Medicago truncatula: one gene and its partner. The protein of the gene in region 1 interacts with the protein of each later gene in a pairwise test. Links are inferred from orthologs where the notes say so. Each region holds a gene or a part of one and is shown in the gene's direction. Other genes may lie near its edges.

The links. The genes of interacting proteins can lie anywhere in the genome.
Region 2: the proteins of F-box protein MAX2 (region 1) and mitochondrial import inner membrane translocase subunit TIM17-2 interact in binary tests that used the Arabidopsis thaliana proteins (3 or more experiments, as listed by UniProt). The link is inferred for Medicago truncatula from reciprocal best matches to the Arabidopsis thaliana genes MAX2 and TIM17-2.

Annotation. Positions count from the first base shown.
Region 1 is NC_053045.1:38,925,716-38,934,848, forward strand, and holds F-box protein MAX2, read left to right. Parts: upstream 1-5,492; 5' UTR 5,493-5,719; coding exon 5,720-7,855; 3' UTR 7,856-8,113; downstream 8,114-9,133. Other genes in the region: serine/threonine-protein kinase EDR1, read right to left, coding at 9,025-9,107. UniProt on the Arabidopsis thaliana protein: Component of SCF(ASK-cullin-F-box) E3 ubiquitin ligase complexes, which may mediate the ubiquitination and subsequent proteasomal degradation of target proteins. Promotes the senescence. Is necessary for responses to strigolactones and karrikins.
Region 2 is NC_053047.1:41,353,911-41,360,710, forward strand, and holds mitochondrial import inner membrane translocase subunit TIM17-2, read left to right. Parts: upstream 1-4,726; 5' UTR 4,727-4,858; coding exon 4,859-5,491; 3' UTR 5,492-5,798; downstream 5,799-6,800. UniProt on the Arabidopsis thaliana protein: Essential component of the TIM17:23 complex, a complex that mediates the translocation of transit peptide-containing proteins across the mitochondrial inner membrane. Links the inner and outer membranes.

The DNA of each region.
Region 1 (9,133 bases):
TTCGTCCATAATCATAATATTGTTTTTGCAATTTTGCTTGTCCCTAAATATAAAAAAAATTTCGGGCTTCAGCCCTCTTTGTTATAAAAATATATATAATTTTTCACATTATTAGATATATTTATTACATTTTTTATAGTATATCTTTTTTTTATGATAGAAGAAAATTATAAAAGATGATGTTTGTTTCAAGTTATATTTGGAGATTCCTGAGAATATGATAGTGGAAAGAAATATTCCTATGTTTGTTTTTAATTTTTATAATTATTCCTTCCTGGGAATAGAAGTTTCTTGAAAATGTTGTCTTGTTCCTAAGAAAATTGGGAGGAATAAAGTTTTCATGAAGCTGGGAATAAAATCATTAATTACTATCCAGAACTATCGCTTTATCAGTCATTCCCATGAATACTTTAAATACTAACCAAACACATTTTCTCAGTAAACCTGAAAATACAGTTCTCATCCTTATATTCACAAGAAAATTATTCCCATGATTATATTTTGTAAACTTGAAACAAAGACCCCCTAAGGAACTAACCTAGGGACTCGACATCTCACTCAATCAAAACGAAGCTTAAGAGCCAAAGAAGGACAAAAGATTGAAGAGGTCCTCCATTAGAAAGAACCACGGTGACCCAAGTTAGCAAGAAAATCAACGCAAGAGTTAGCTCCCTATAAATATGCTTCAATGAGACCTTTCAATCCATAAGATAGACAAGAAAAAGAATGTCGAATATATGGATTTGAAGAGCCGCGGTGTGAGATGAAGTGAGTTGAACAATTTGTATAAAGACCCAAGAATCACATTCCACAAGAAGGGAAATAATACCCTGATCCCAAAAGGTTTTAAGACCATATTAAAGAGACCTCAAAGCTCAACATAAATAGCGGTGGAGGTTTTTTTTTTTTTTTGGGTTACAAAATTTTAGGGTGAGGGGATGGTGCCCCAGTCTAAGGTAGGGAAGACCTTCGAGCTCAAAGAGCACTTACAAAGGTATTTACATTTACCTCCCTTCAAAGGCACTAGTGAGGCTCGAACCCGGATTCTCTCGGATTCAAGACCTGTCATTTTATAGGAGTGGAGGTTTTAATATTACAACACAAGATTCTTATTATGGGATTTTTAAATTGTGAGATTTTTAAATTTGTGATATTTGTTTTCTCAATTTAAATTGATAGATATATTTTTTTTCTCAACAAGAAAAAGTTGTGAGATTGTTTTCTCAAAAAAATCGACTGAGATCTCATTTTCTGAATTTTAAAAAAATATTTAATAAGTATTTTTTGTCAATTTAAATTGATAGTAAACATCTTATGGAATAAGTTCATAAAAAGTAAACTCGAAGATTCATTCTTTCAAAGTATAAAATTAACTCTATAACACTTTGAGAGAAGGCAACAGAAGTGTTGATTGGCTTGCTAACTTCAGCCTTACCATGGATTCATGGAATTTTACTATTTTGGAGACCCCTCCTAGTGAGCTCAATAGTCTCCTCTTTGATGACATCTCTGGTGCTTGTATGCCTAGAAATGTTCGTGTAATTGTTTAATTTTCTCTTTTGGGCTTCGGCCCTCTCTTGTACCAAAAAAAAAAATTAACTCTATAACTAATACTTATGTGATCTTAACTTCTAAATTTTACTTTAGAATTAATAAATCATATATGTTGAAAAATGGATTCTAATTTTTTTGCCTGCCCCCGACACCGACACTAATCCGACGTGAATTCATTGTTAGCGTCAGTTTTTGCCTGGTTAAAGTGGGTTTTTGGCCGACTTTAAACACTGTTTTCTTGTAGGGCCAGGGGTGGCAAATAAAGTTGCTTCCAATCCTTAATCCACCCCACCCATATATCAACGTTAACCAAGCTATTACCTTGTTATATAATAAATTCATTCAACAACCAACACCAACCATATATTTGGTTACAAACTGCTACATTCAAAACTAGACAAAACAACTCGATGGTATGTTTCCATCAACGATGCTTAATTCAGCCGCAAATTTTTATTTTTTTTTAGGAAACCACAAACTTATAATTTACAAAAACTAAATATTCACATACTTAATTTTATATATAACTTAAGACATGTCCCTAAATTCCATATGATGCTATTCAAAAAGACTAGTTTTGTTCTTAAATATGCTTTGGTGACATAAAATTATATTATTGAGGGGTGGATGCTAACTTGTATAAGACCATGAACCTTTGTGATGCAATGATTGTTGTTAATGAGTCTCACATCAAATAAAATATGACTTAAATATATGTTTATAAGTAGGAGCAATCTTCATCCAACAAACAAAAAGGAACAGTGATGAAGTAGAAGGATTTTGCAGTTTCAACTAAATATCTGAATGAACTAGAGCAAAAAATGACGCAACATTTTTAGGCAATTGAAAAGGAACATTGTGATGAAGTAAAAGGGTTCTTGCGGTTTCAACTAAATTTGAATGAACTAGAGCAAAAAAGGATGCGACACTTTTAGGCAATCGATGATCCACTTATGAAATCATATTATGTATTTTCAACCAAAAATGAAATCTTATTTCTATTTTATAACTTTTAATTGATTCATTTGCATTTTTATTTCCATGGTAATAGTAATTGATAATTTTTTATTACTTCTATAGTTCTAATTCAACAACTATTAAATCGTGTTCTTAAGGGTGGTTCAAAATCCAAGTCAAAGAATTCACGTTTGAATTTCATCGAAAATGGAGATATCCTTTTATGTGTGTGATCATTGGCTTCAGGTTTTTTTTTTTAAGAGGCTACAATGAAATATATTACCACATCAAAAGGTCCTCCCTAACATAAGATATGCCAAGGAAAAGACACCAAAGTCAAAACAAATATTTACAAGGGAAAACCAAAACAGTGACTAAAGAAAGCAAATAACTATTAGCCTATGCCAAAAATAGTGAAATGACTAAGCCACCAGCCATGATAGTTGAAGGGAAGAGAAGGAAATTTCGCCTTCAGCCACATGAAAGTCAGCGACTTAATTTTATCAACCACCTGCATAATTGAGCACTCTTTGCCATTAAAGAGCATGTTATTTCTTTCTTTCCAAATTTTCCACGTAGTTGCATACCAAAGAACCTGTAAAATTGATCGTCGTGCCTTTGTGACACCGCCATCAACAGTGAAGGGAATTACCGTCGACAAACCCAACCACCTGGAGATATAGTGCCAAATCGAACCAAATATATTACAATGTAAAAATAAATGTGCTGAAGTCTCTTCGGACCCACAGCCAGCAACACACATCCAGGAATCATTAGGAATCACTCCACAACGAAGAAGGTTATCCTTAGTTGGCAACCTATCACGAAACATACGCCAAGCAAACAAAACGACCTTCAAAGGGACATCTTTATTCCAAAGAGAGGACACCGCCACCATAGAAACAAACGGAGGTTGAAAAGTGAGCAAATTATAAGCACTACGGACGAAATAGACATGAGATGTTTCCAAATTCCATAGCCACCTATCAACTTTATCAACCTGCAAAGTCACACCGTGAAATAATAATTTAAATTCCTCCACCAACTCTTCTTCCCACGCAAACAGCCCCCCTCCTCCAACTTCACGCTTGCCCCTCATCCCCCATCCCCCATCCTAACTCACACATCATCAATAATAACTTATGTACTCTTTTGAGGATTTTGTTTTGTATGGGATGGTATTTGTTTGTTTTTTCTTGAGGTTTGATTTTGATTGTATATTTAGTGAGTTGTAATTGTTTTATTCATGTTAAAGAGTCGTTGGATGAGAGATAACATGAACAATTGTTTATAAGTGAAAGCGAATTTTACCTCACAAATTGATTTTAGGAGAATGAATTATCTCTAGTATAAAAATCTAAGGTGATATTAAAACCTTTTCCAAGATCTGTCTTGATCGAACCACCTACCATTTATATCTATGCATCAAGTCTAATAGTATTGGATGCGATAGGCTGTGTTAAATACTATCATATTTGATGAAAAATGACATAAACAAGTGTTTCTAAATATGGATAACCATCATCTCACAAATCAGTTTTGTACTATGGGCTAGAGCAAATATAAAAACTTAAGAATCCATGAATGATACACTTTGTATCTTGGATAATAAGTATTTATTAGAGAAATGATATTTGTACAACCACTTTATGACAACTTTTTCTTTCATACTCACATTATCCTCTTATTTTCTCTCTTTCTTTTTCTCTCCATAGTTTTTAACCAATAAAAAGAGAGAAAAAAAATTATCACAAAAAATTGTATGAAATAGTTGTTCAAATATCACTACTCTATTTATTAATATCATTTGTTGGTCTTTTGTGAAAGAGAGATAAATTTTAGAAATAAAAAAAGAAAAAACTTATATAGTATTGAATCTCATGTGTCAATGTAAACTTTGTTATTTAACGTGGATTGATTGGACTAAATTAGATTGGAAGCTCGAAAGGAAGGTTAACGTTGGGTCCCTCGTCGGTCACTCACTGACTCACATATTATATTATTATACATATACTCCATTATTATTATTTCAACGCCAGTTTTAAAAATATCATCAATATCCAATAGAGATATTAACGCCAAGTGTATGTTGCACTATTGTGTTTTGTGTTCCTATCCAAATCCAATCAAAATGGAAAAGACAGAGCTTGACAAAGTAAGTAGATAGAAAGAAAGAAAAAATGAACAAGATACGAAACAAGAAAAGAAGTAAACAAAATTCAATCCAACAATGTGACTCTGAGTGATTTAACCCTCTTTCTTTATCTCATAAGGGATTAACTGGGTCCTGTTTGTGGTCCCCCAATTGTTTGTCCCTATTCTTTTTTCCCTTATCTTAAATCTTAATAATAATGTACATGCAGATTTCATTTTGTACCATTACCCCATTTCCCACTGCTGGCTTGTTGCCTTTTACAGAAATCCAAACCATCCCTCATTTTCAAACCATCTCTCACACACACAATTTTGGATCTTAGTTACTCTTAATCGATGTTTGATATCATCGTGGATATGTCAAACTGTGATTTTACAAAAGTTATCGGTGTAATATCAAACACAAACTTAATGGTGAAAAAATCATCATGACTTTAATGTATGATAAGAAAAAATAAACAAAAATGATAAATAAGATGAGGAAAAGACGTACATCTTTTAAAGATAGCGGATCCAGATCACACGATTTTAAAATAAGAGAATATTAAAAAATGTCTTGTAAATATTGTTTAAGCAATCAAAATATATAAATTTCCTTAAAAATTTATACAATTGTTATTTAATAAAAAAAAATTATATTTTTAAGATAAAATTTCTATTTATAAATTTTTTAACAAATACTCAAAGAGACATGGTTAGTAAAACCCTTTAAAATTTAGTGAGCTACATACATCGTATTCACGTGGCTATGCATCACCCAACCAACAAAGTGTTTTCAATCTTATGACTAATAATAGCCATACCATACCCATCAATACCCATTATCAATCAAGCATATGATATCATCCTCTACCATACACAATACAATAAAATAAAATAAAAATGTAATAAAAACATTACTCTTTATAACATCTCAGAAACTGCCACAAATATCACTCACTAGATTTCATTGATTGATACTCAATACCCCAATCACCTTACCTCTATAAATTTCCTTCATACATATTCCTAAAAAGAAGAAAGTAGTTATTTTCGTGAGAATTTCTTACCGGTGATGGTAGGAAACAACTCAGCAACCACCGTCAGCCACCTACCGGAGGAGATTTTATCGAAAGTCTTCACCGGAATAACTGACACACGAACTCGAAACTCACTCTCCTTAGTATGTCATAGCTTCTTCAAGTTAGAGAGAAAAACGCGATTATCCCTCACGCTCCGAGGAAACGCGCGTGACTTATACAGAATTCCAACTTCCTTCACGAACGTTACTCATCTCGATGTATCACTTCTCTCGCCGTGGGGTCACGCGCTGTTCTGTTCACCTGCTGGTAATGATTCTCCGCTTCTAGCTCAACGGTTACGAAATACTTTCCCGCGCGTGACTTCACTCACTGTCTACGTGCGTGACCCGCACACGCTTCACCTTCTTCTCTTCAACCACTGGCCGGAGCTTCGTGATGTTCGGCTTGTTCGGTGGCATCAACGGCCGCAGGGGTTGCAACCGGGGTCAGACTTCGACGCCTTGTTCTCACGGTGCCGATCGATTACTTCACTTGATCTTTCATCGTTCTATCACTGGCCGGAGGATCTTCCACCGGTTTTGGCGGAGAATACTACCACAGCCGCCTCACTCCGTCGTTTGAATCTCTTAACGACGTCGTTCACGGAGGGGTTCAAGTCTAACCAAATCGAATCCATCACTTCATCTTGCCCTAATCTGGAACACTTTCTTGTTGCATGCACTTTTGATCCGAGATACATCGGTTTTGTCGGTGACGAAACTTTATTGGCCGTCGCTTCTAATTGTCCTAAGCTGAAACTTCTTCACATGGCTGATACGTCGTCGTTTTCGAATCGGAGAGAGGAAGAAGGTGTAGAGGATGCTAGGGTGAGTCGTGCCACGCTTGTAGCGTTGTTCACTGGGTTGCCTCTTCTGGAAGAATTGGTGCTAGATGTTTGTAAAAATGTCACCGAGACTAGTTTTGCTTTGGAGATGTTGAGTTCTAAATGTCCTAATTTGAAGGTTGTGAAGTTGGGTCAGTTTCAGGGGATTTGTTTGGCAATTGGGTCACGGCTTGACGGAATTGCGCTTTGCCATGGGCTTCAATCGTTGTCTGTTAACACGTGTGGTGATCTTGATGATATGGGGTTGATTGAGATTGGGAGAGGGTGTTCACGGTTGGTGAGATTTGAGATTCAGGGTTGTAAGCTTGTTACTGAAAAAGGGTTGAGGACTATGGCGTGTTTGCTTCGAAGGACTTTGATTGATGTTAAGGTTGCTTCATGTGTCAACCTGGATGCGGCTGCTACTCTTAGAGCTTTGGAGCCTATTCGGGACCGGATTGAGCGGCTTCACTTGGATTGTATATGGAAAGAAAGTGATAACTTCGGACAAGGTTTGTTCAACTTTGATCTGAACACTTTGGATGAACTGAACGGTTCAGAGTTAATGGATTGCTTTGGAGGTGAGGAATGTGGAGAAGACACAAGCATGAGGAAGAGGCAAAGGTGTGAGTATGGATTGGAGGCTGATGATTTGTTTGTGCAAAGCAATGGCAATGGTAACGGCAATGGATACTATGGCTATAGCTGGGATAGGTTGGAGTATCTTTCTCTTTGGATAAAGGTTGGTGAACTTTTGACTCAGTTGCCAGTAGCAGGGTTGGAGGATTGCCCCAATCTAGAAGAGATTCGTATAAAAGTCGAAGGAGATTGCAGAGGACAGCCCAAACCGGCAGTGCGCGAATTTGGTTTGAGCATTCTAGCTTGTTATCCTCAGTTGTCAAAGATGCAGCTGGATTGTGGCGATACAAAAGGTTATGTATACACAGCGCCTTCCGGCCAATTGGATTTGAGTTGGTGGGAGAGGTTCTTCCTTAATGGGATCGGTAGCTTGAGTCTAAATGAACTTCATTACTGGCCACCACAAGATGAGGATGTGAACCAGAGGAGTCTGTCTCTTCCAGCTGCTGGCCTGTTGCAAGAATGCTATACTTTGAGGAAGCTTTTCATTCATGGAACAACTCATGAACACTTCATGAACTACTTCCTCAAAATACCAAATCTGAGAGATGTTCAGCTGAGAGAGGATTACTATCCAGCACCAGAGAATGACATGAGTACAGAGATGAGGGTAGGATCATGCATTCGCTTTGAAGATGCGTTGAATAGGCGTCAAATATGTGACTGATCAAGTGTAATGTTTGCTAGGATGCAATAAACAAGAGAAAAAAGAGGATAGTTCTTAAGGCTATAGGGCTTGTTAATTGTTATTGCCAATTATTAACATCAATTACGGCTTTGGTAGATTATTTGTCACTTTCCTCTTTTGACACCGTAAAATCGTGGGACTCCAGTTGGATTTTTGTTTGAGTCTCAAATGTAACCATTCTACCCTCGGCTATTTTGTTATTTTCGTGGAATAAATATGCGCGAGAGATTACATGCATCTTCTCTCACAAGAACTTAAATTATCAAGGTAACCAAAAAAAAAAAAAAGAACTTAAATTATAAGGTAAAAAAAGTTGAAATTATTATGAGAAACTTTTTTTGACAAGTAGATTATTATGAGAAACTTATATACGATTTGTTTTTTGAGTCTTCTAGCAAGAGCTCTTTGTATTTAAACTTATATCTTAGGTTAGAATCTGATGCATAGCTATGCATGTGAAAATACAGAATTTTTTTAAAACCCAAGGTAGGTCCGTTTAGTGTAAAAAACAACAAAAAATTACTGTCTGAATTTCTATCACAGTTGATTAAATTATAATATGTACCCCAACATATTTTGGAATTCTTACTGATAAAATGGATATATGTGTTTAGTTCCATACATGTACCAGCACCGAGCATCACTATTTTAGAGAGCCGGATCCTCTCCTTCACTCTCTCCATCCTCTCTATCTCTCTTCTTTTATCGCTTTTTTAGCATTCAATTCTCTATTCTCTCTCATCCCTCCTGTGTAATGTGAAGGAAAGGATCCGAACACCTATTTTAGGTACAACCGAGCTTCATAGGTTAAAATTAAGCATGTGTTTGAAAGAATGGAAGCCAGTAGGATTCGACTGTTCAGTATATTGAATATTCTGTCATGAATTACTTCTTTCAAAATTTTCAACCATTAAATGAAAGGTCAACCATATTTTGTGTGATTAAAGAGATGGATAAAAAAAAGCCATTGCTTCTTTTCCTTCTCTTTACATTGCTTCACATAAGAGACGATTCAAGAAATGCACGAATGCACGCACATTTTAACATGTTTTCAGGACATATAATTCATATAAGTTTACAACATCAGCCGAAAATACAATGTGATAACTCAACCCAAAGTTCACTATGTACAAAAGGTAATTGCTGCATCAAGACATCGAGTACTCAATATCCACCAAGCGAGATAGGATCTCCTCACAACTTGGTCGCTCATTCGGTTCTGCCCAACACTCTGCACATGAAAAATCAAGTAACCAG
Region 2 (6,800 bases), on another chromosome or scaffold:
TTGGTGTCTTCTTCATAGATTCTGCACCTATTAACCAACTCAGAGAAGACTCTGATCTGCTGATACCCAATAGCCCTCTTGATGTCAGCCCTCAACCCATTCTCAAACTTGATACACTTGGAGAACTCAGCTGTCTCCGCACTGTAATGAGGGTAGAATGTGGCAAGCTCCATAAACTTTGCAGCATACTCTGTGACAGACATGTCACCCTGTTTCAACTCCAGAAATTCAATCTCTTTCTTACCCCTGACATCCTCTGGAAAATACCTGCCCAGCAACTCCTTCCTGAACATGGCCCAGGTTACCACAGCATCATCCTGCTCCAGAACAGGCAACAAACTAATCCACCAATCATCGGCCTCCTCAGCTAACATGTGCGTCCCAAACCGCACCTTCTGTGTCTCAGAACACTGCATGACTCGGAATATTCTTTCAATCTCCTTCAGCCACTTCTGAGCACCATCAGGAGCATACCTACCCTTGAATGTTGGTGGATGATTCCTCAAGAAAGTCTCTAGCATCCTGGTTCCATCACTACCAGTCTCAACCTTAGGTTGCTGTTGAACAACTTGAGCTACAGCCTCAAGCGCAGCAACAAGGGCAGCATCACTACTTCCAGTCATCTCGAGATTCTACACGACAAACAACAACTCAGAACAACAACAAAAAAAACAATATTAAAGTTGACACTCTATCCTAGGTGGCTCAACACGACTCTACTAGTTGGCCGGACGGACCAACCGGCTCTGATACCAAATTGTAACACCCCGTTACCCAAAAGCAATTAAATAGCAAATATACATCAGAGTAGTTCCACAACGGGCATGCTACACGTCATTTCAAAATTTCTTAAATAGAAAATAAAACTATTTAATCAAGCAACTTATTATTTATGAAAACATAGCAGCGGAATAGTTTTCATAATCCATAACCACATGAACATCCAACAATAGTCTAAGGCATTAAAGGCCTTAACATAATTCAACATCATAGTTCAAAGACAACAAAAGGCTCCACACCATAAGTTCCAAAATTTGATACATGGAAAGGAAAAGCAACAATAATAAAAATGATAAATCCCATCCCACGTATCAGAGCCCTAAACACGACTTTGAGCCACCACCTACTACTCAGGATCACCTGCAAGTTACCCATAGGAAGGGCAACATTTTCAAGCAGAAGGGGTGAGATTCACAACAATAAATATATATATTAAAATCATCAATTGAATCTAACACCCTAACCAACAACACTTTATCTTGTAAACAAATATATGTATAAGTCACAAGTAACAACAACATCAACAATACCCATGATCACAATGAATATATATATATAAATGCATATTCAACACCAACATCATCCATCAGAAAATAACCGACATCAACAACCAAGACTCATGCAAATGACATGACCACTGCTAAGACACCATCTTAGACTTCTTAATGAAATGCAATATGCATGTGGTACCAAATAGGACCGAAGCCCTCACCGCTTTTGAATGGTTAAAGCATTCATCAGGACCGAAGCCCTCACCGCTGTTGAGCAACTAGTACTCCAGGACCGAAGCCCTCACCGCTGTTTTATGCATATGTAATGGACCTACTTGTGTATATCTACATACAACTGACCATGCAATGCAACTCCATGTGACTCTACTATAATAATATGTATGATTCAATAAATAACATACATTTCAACCATCATCAGTATTCATCAATCCAACAATCCAATCAACCAAAATAATGTATAATTATATACAACCATGCTCAAATACAACAACACCAACCACTACTAATCATGCAAGCAATTCAACACTCATAAACAGTGCAACTCGCCTTGCGAGCACATCTGCTCGCCATGGCGAGTTCACAAAAACAGTAGCTCGCCGTGGCGAGTTCAAGGCGAACTCTAGGCGAGTGAAAATCAGGAGCTCTCGGGAAAAATGCCATTTTCTCACTCAAATCCAAATTCTAAGTTCCCTATTCATCTTTTTAACCTAAAACTTTCACCATTCATCATAAAAATCATCTAGGTACCTTAAACCATCCCCAAAACATCTTATAACAACTTTTCAAAAATCAAGTTTTATTATGGGCTACTCGCCATGGCGAGTTGGACTGCTCGCGAGGCGAGCTATGAAGTTGCTCACTCGCCATGGCGAGCACAGCTACTCGCGAGGCGAGCGATGAACTTCTGTACGGGCAGAAAACTGGTTTTTCCCAAAAATCCCATTTTCCTTCCAATCACTCCCCAAATCAGTTTACAGATGAGAAATGAATGTTTCTATGCAACCAAAACCAAATTCTAACATCAGAATAGCAATATCTACCCCAAAAACCATAAATTCAATTAAAACCCAATTCCTCAATTTCAATCCAAAAACCTGTTAAACTCAAATCAGACTTTAAAATCTACACTATTGAAGTAAACCTCACCCTTACCTTAGAAATTGAAGAAGAAATGTGCAGCAAATTCACTCTTGGCTCTAACTTGGTCTTCTCCCCTTTTTCTCCCAACTTGTCAGTTCTTACGTACAACTGCTTCTCCTCTTTCTTTTCCTAACTTCCCATTACTTAACTCCCTATATTTTCATTTAACTCCCCATTAACTTTAATAACTATTAAATAACTCCCCAAACTCCAAAATAATTATTATTTCATACTTATATTAATTATTATTAAATAAACTATATAATAAAATAATACACCACATAAGACACCCAAAAATCACATATATATATATAAATATATATATATATATATATATACTCCGCATAAATTACCAAACATCATATATAAAAATACATATACTCCACATAATTCAAATTAATTAAATAAACAACTAGGGCGTTACAGGTGTTCTTTGTATTTTTAGCAGTGGTGCATGCACACGACAATTCACATGTGATGAAAACTAAGCAACCATGTTTGGATTTATCTGTACCACACTCAACTGCTCGATCAGATTTGTTTGCGATATATAATGCAAAACATTCTTTGATATGTTTCCAATCAACTTAGACCACGACAACTTTCCCGTGAAACTGTTTTAAGCATGATCATACTCATATAGAACAACACATGTATTTGAGTATGTTGCGATTCTAACATGTTGTGAACGAATGACCAATTCATACACAAACATCCCATACTACTAGTCAAATACTTTTTCAACTGACTGTGCGCATATTCAACTACGTTTTTCGTTGTATTTCCCATATATCTTACACATGCACAACTTCTTGTACTCAGTATACGAACCTCCCTTTTCACATATAACGTAACAAATACATTTATGCCATTTCCACCCTTATTTGACTTTTTAATAACAGTTGAAAATCCTAGCCTCCCTACTTATTTTCGAATCCACTCAACAAATCGTTATGTGTAGCAAACTTTACTTTAGTGGTAAAATTTTCCTGATGATCAATAGAAACAACAATAGGTCCAACAATTGGATGAGTATCAGCTGGAGGCACACCAGGTGGAGGAGCACCCTTCACTTTCGCATCCTCAGAAGGAATATCGACTAGAGGTGGGGGATCCTCGACTTTGACATTGACGGTATCATCCAAATTTTCAGGTGAAATAATTAGCAACATAATAGGAGTTTCAATGTCAGGAGCCAATGTAAGAGCCTATGAGATATTAATGAGAGCGTCCATTACTAAAAACAATGCAAAATCATGGTAACAAACTGGACAATGTCTGCAATGGTGTGTTTCAGATTATATAAGTCAAACCATATTGTTGACGTGATCAAGAGGAAAGCGCCTAGAAATCGAACGAGGAAGGTCTTATAGGAACATTATCTATGCATTCAAACGAAAATGATGTTGTTGACGCCCCTTGATGACCAAATTGCTACTCCAAATCACACTTTCGCCCAAAATGGTGTGTTTTTTTTTGAGATGTGAGGAGTGTTTAGTGATAAAGGTGGTGACATTTTGTTAGGTTTTTGGCAAACCTTTATATTCGAAGGTTTCAGATTCCATAATCCAAGTGTTCCCCCGCCTTTTAAAAGCTAGTTTTCCCGATCATAAAAATAAAAATGGGCCCAAAAACTATGTTTAAAATCATACTTTCAACACATTGTGAAAAAATTTCGGTTTATATATTTCAAACGATTGTTATAGAAATTTGGGCAAGCATAAGTCATGTTGCATGCCTGCCTTCAATTTTTACATTGTTAGGATTCCATAAATCAAAACACCTTATGATTATAAAATTCGAACAAAAACACATTTTTAAAAAATAAATCGTGCAAGAATCTCATGGAAAGAAAGAATTAAGGTTTAAATATGCCTTTAGTCCTTACACTTTCATCAGATTTTGGCATTGGTCCCTACACTTTTTTTTGTTTGGAATTGGTCAGTGCACTTTGTAAAAATATTGATATTGGTGCCACGTGGCGTGAAATGATTGGGCCAGGTGGCATTCCGTTGATTTTGTGTTTTTTTTTTTTAACAGAAAGTTAACAGAGGGACCAATACCAATATTTTTACAAAGTGCAGGGACCAATGCCAAACAAAAAAAGTGCTTGGATCAATGGACACATTTAAACCAAGAATTAATAATCATATATATATATATATATATTTTTTTTTTTTCCAATAGGTATGCAAAAACAAAATATCTAAAACATTTCCCGTTGATTCTAAAAAAAAAACAAAATTTCCCATTGCTTGATAAAAAAGATTGATATCTAAAATCTAAAATAATTTTAACATTATTAGTCGGCGTATAAAAAGAGAACTTCGACCCTCTTTACTTCATTCTTTTGTTCTCTCTCTTTCTCCTCTCACGCACCAAAACCCTAATACCCAAATTCACTTTTCGATCAAATCAATCAAAACATGGGAACACCTGAAACCTCACGCGAGCCTTGTCCCGATCGCATCCTCGACGACATCGGCGGCGCGTTTGGTATGGGTGCCGTCGGTGGCTCCGCCTTCCACTTTCTCAAAGGTCTCTACAATTCCCCCAAAGGAGCACGTTTCACCGGCGCAACACAAGCTGTTCGTCTCAACGCACCTCGAATCGGTGGTAGTTTCGCTGTTTGGGGTGGTTTATTCTCAACTTTTGATTGTACTATGGTTTACGTGAGACAAAAGGAAGATCCGTGGAATTCTATTGTTGCTGGTGCTGCTACTGGTGGTTTTCTTGCTATGCGTCAGGGTTTAGCTGCTTCTGCGCGATCAGCGGCATTTGGTGGTGTGCTTTTAGCGTTGATTGAGGGGGCTGGTATTGCTTTGAATAAGTTTTTGAGTGCTCAACAGCCTTTGCCGATGATGATCGAGGATATGCCGCCAGAGAATTCGAATTCAAATGCAAATTCGGAGGAAAACAAAGGTGGGAAGCCGTGGTTTGGTGGATTTGGTGGAATTTTTGGACAGAAGGAGGAAGAGAAGATTGGTGGTGGTGGAAGTGAGGTGAAGGTTTTGGAGAGTTTTGATGCGCCTCCTGTGCCGAATTTTGAGTATAAGTGATTATGAATTAGAGTTTTGAGGTAGTGAATTTGTGTTTTGAAAATTTAAATTTGAGAAAATTAGGGTTTGGTTTGAACCTTGATTGATGTTGGTTGCTTATTAGCTATGATACTAATGAAGTATTTATAAGAGTTATCTGGTTTATGGCTGTTTTGAAATTGATAATCATATGTAATAAGTTTAGCGGTAGACTTTTATTATAATGTTAATGATATTTTTTTAATGTTGTTATGATTAATGTAAGTACAGTAGATTATTAGTTGTTTAATTATGTTGAGTTTAAATGAATGTTCTTTGTTTGGTGTGTGATTGCTTGAATTTCAATTGTTTGTTACCAACAAATTTGTGTTGATTAGTGAGGTGAAGGTTTTTGAGAGGGTTGATTCGCCTTCTCTGCCTTATTTTGAGTACGTGTGAAATAGGGTTTGGTTATTGTCTTTTAAGCTTATAATCTCCCTAATGAGTTTCTATTCAGCTAGATTTTCACTGTGTTTTGTTGCCTTCACAAATGGCTACTCACTTAGTGAGGTGTGAACTGGTTTTTGAGGGGCCGTAGGGGTTCTGTGGTTCTGTTTGGTTCTTTTTTTTTTAGCAGTGGCTTTGTTGTGTTGGGTTGGGGGATATTTGTTACTTGAATGAATTTGTGGTGATCAGTGAGGTGAGGGTTCTTGAGAGGTTTGGTGCTCCTCTGCCTTATTTTGAGCACTAATTTCATGGCCGGCCATGTCTTTTGTCAAGAACTATATTTTGTTCTTGTGGCACTAGTGACATGATAGCTACCGGTGGTTATAATTAGTGTAAGTATATTAGATTACCGGTGGTTTAATTACAATATGTTTAAATTTGATGTTTCCTTTAACTGGATTTTGAGAGTGAGGTAAAGATTATTGAGTTCAAGTGAATTTGGGTATGGTTTTTGACTTTTGAGGTAGTGATTTTTGTTATGTTCTGAAATTTAAATTTAAATTTGAAAATTTTAGGGTTTGTTTATGAACCTCAATTGGTGGTGATTGTTGATTGATATGTCGTATCATAATTTAGTTACTTTGTTAATCTTTGTTTTGAAGTCAATAATACTATGCAATTAAAGTAACTAAATTTTTTAGACAAAATTATACATGTTCTGATTGATGCACTCTGAAATTAAGTTTTGTTTTAGGTTCTATTATTATATTTGCTTTTTACTGTATCGGCTTATTACACAAGCACTGCTGAATGCATGTGAATTTCATGTTAAGCTTAGAATCTCCCTAATGAGTTTCTATTCAGCTGGATTTTTACTGGTTTTGCTGCCTTCACAAATAGCTAC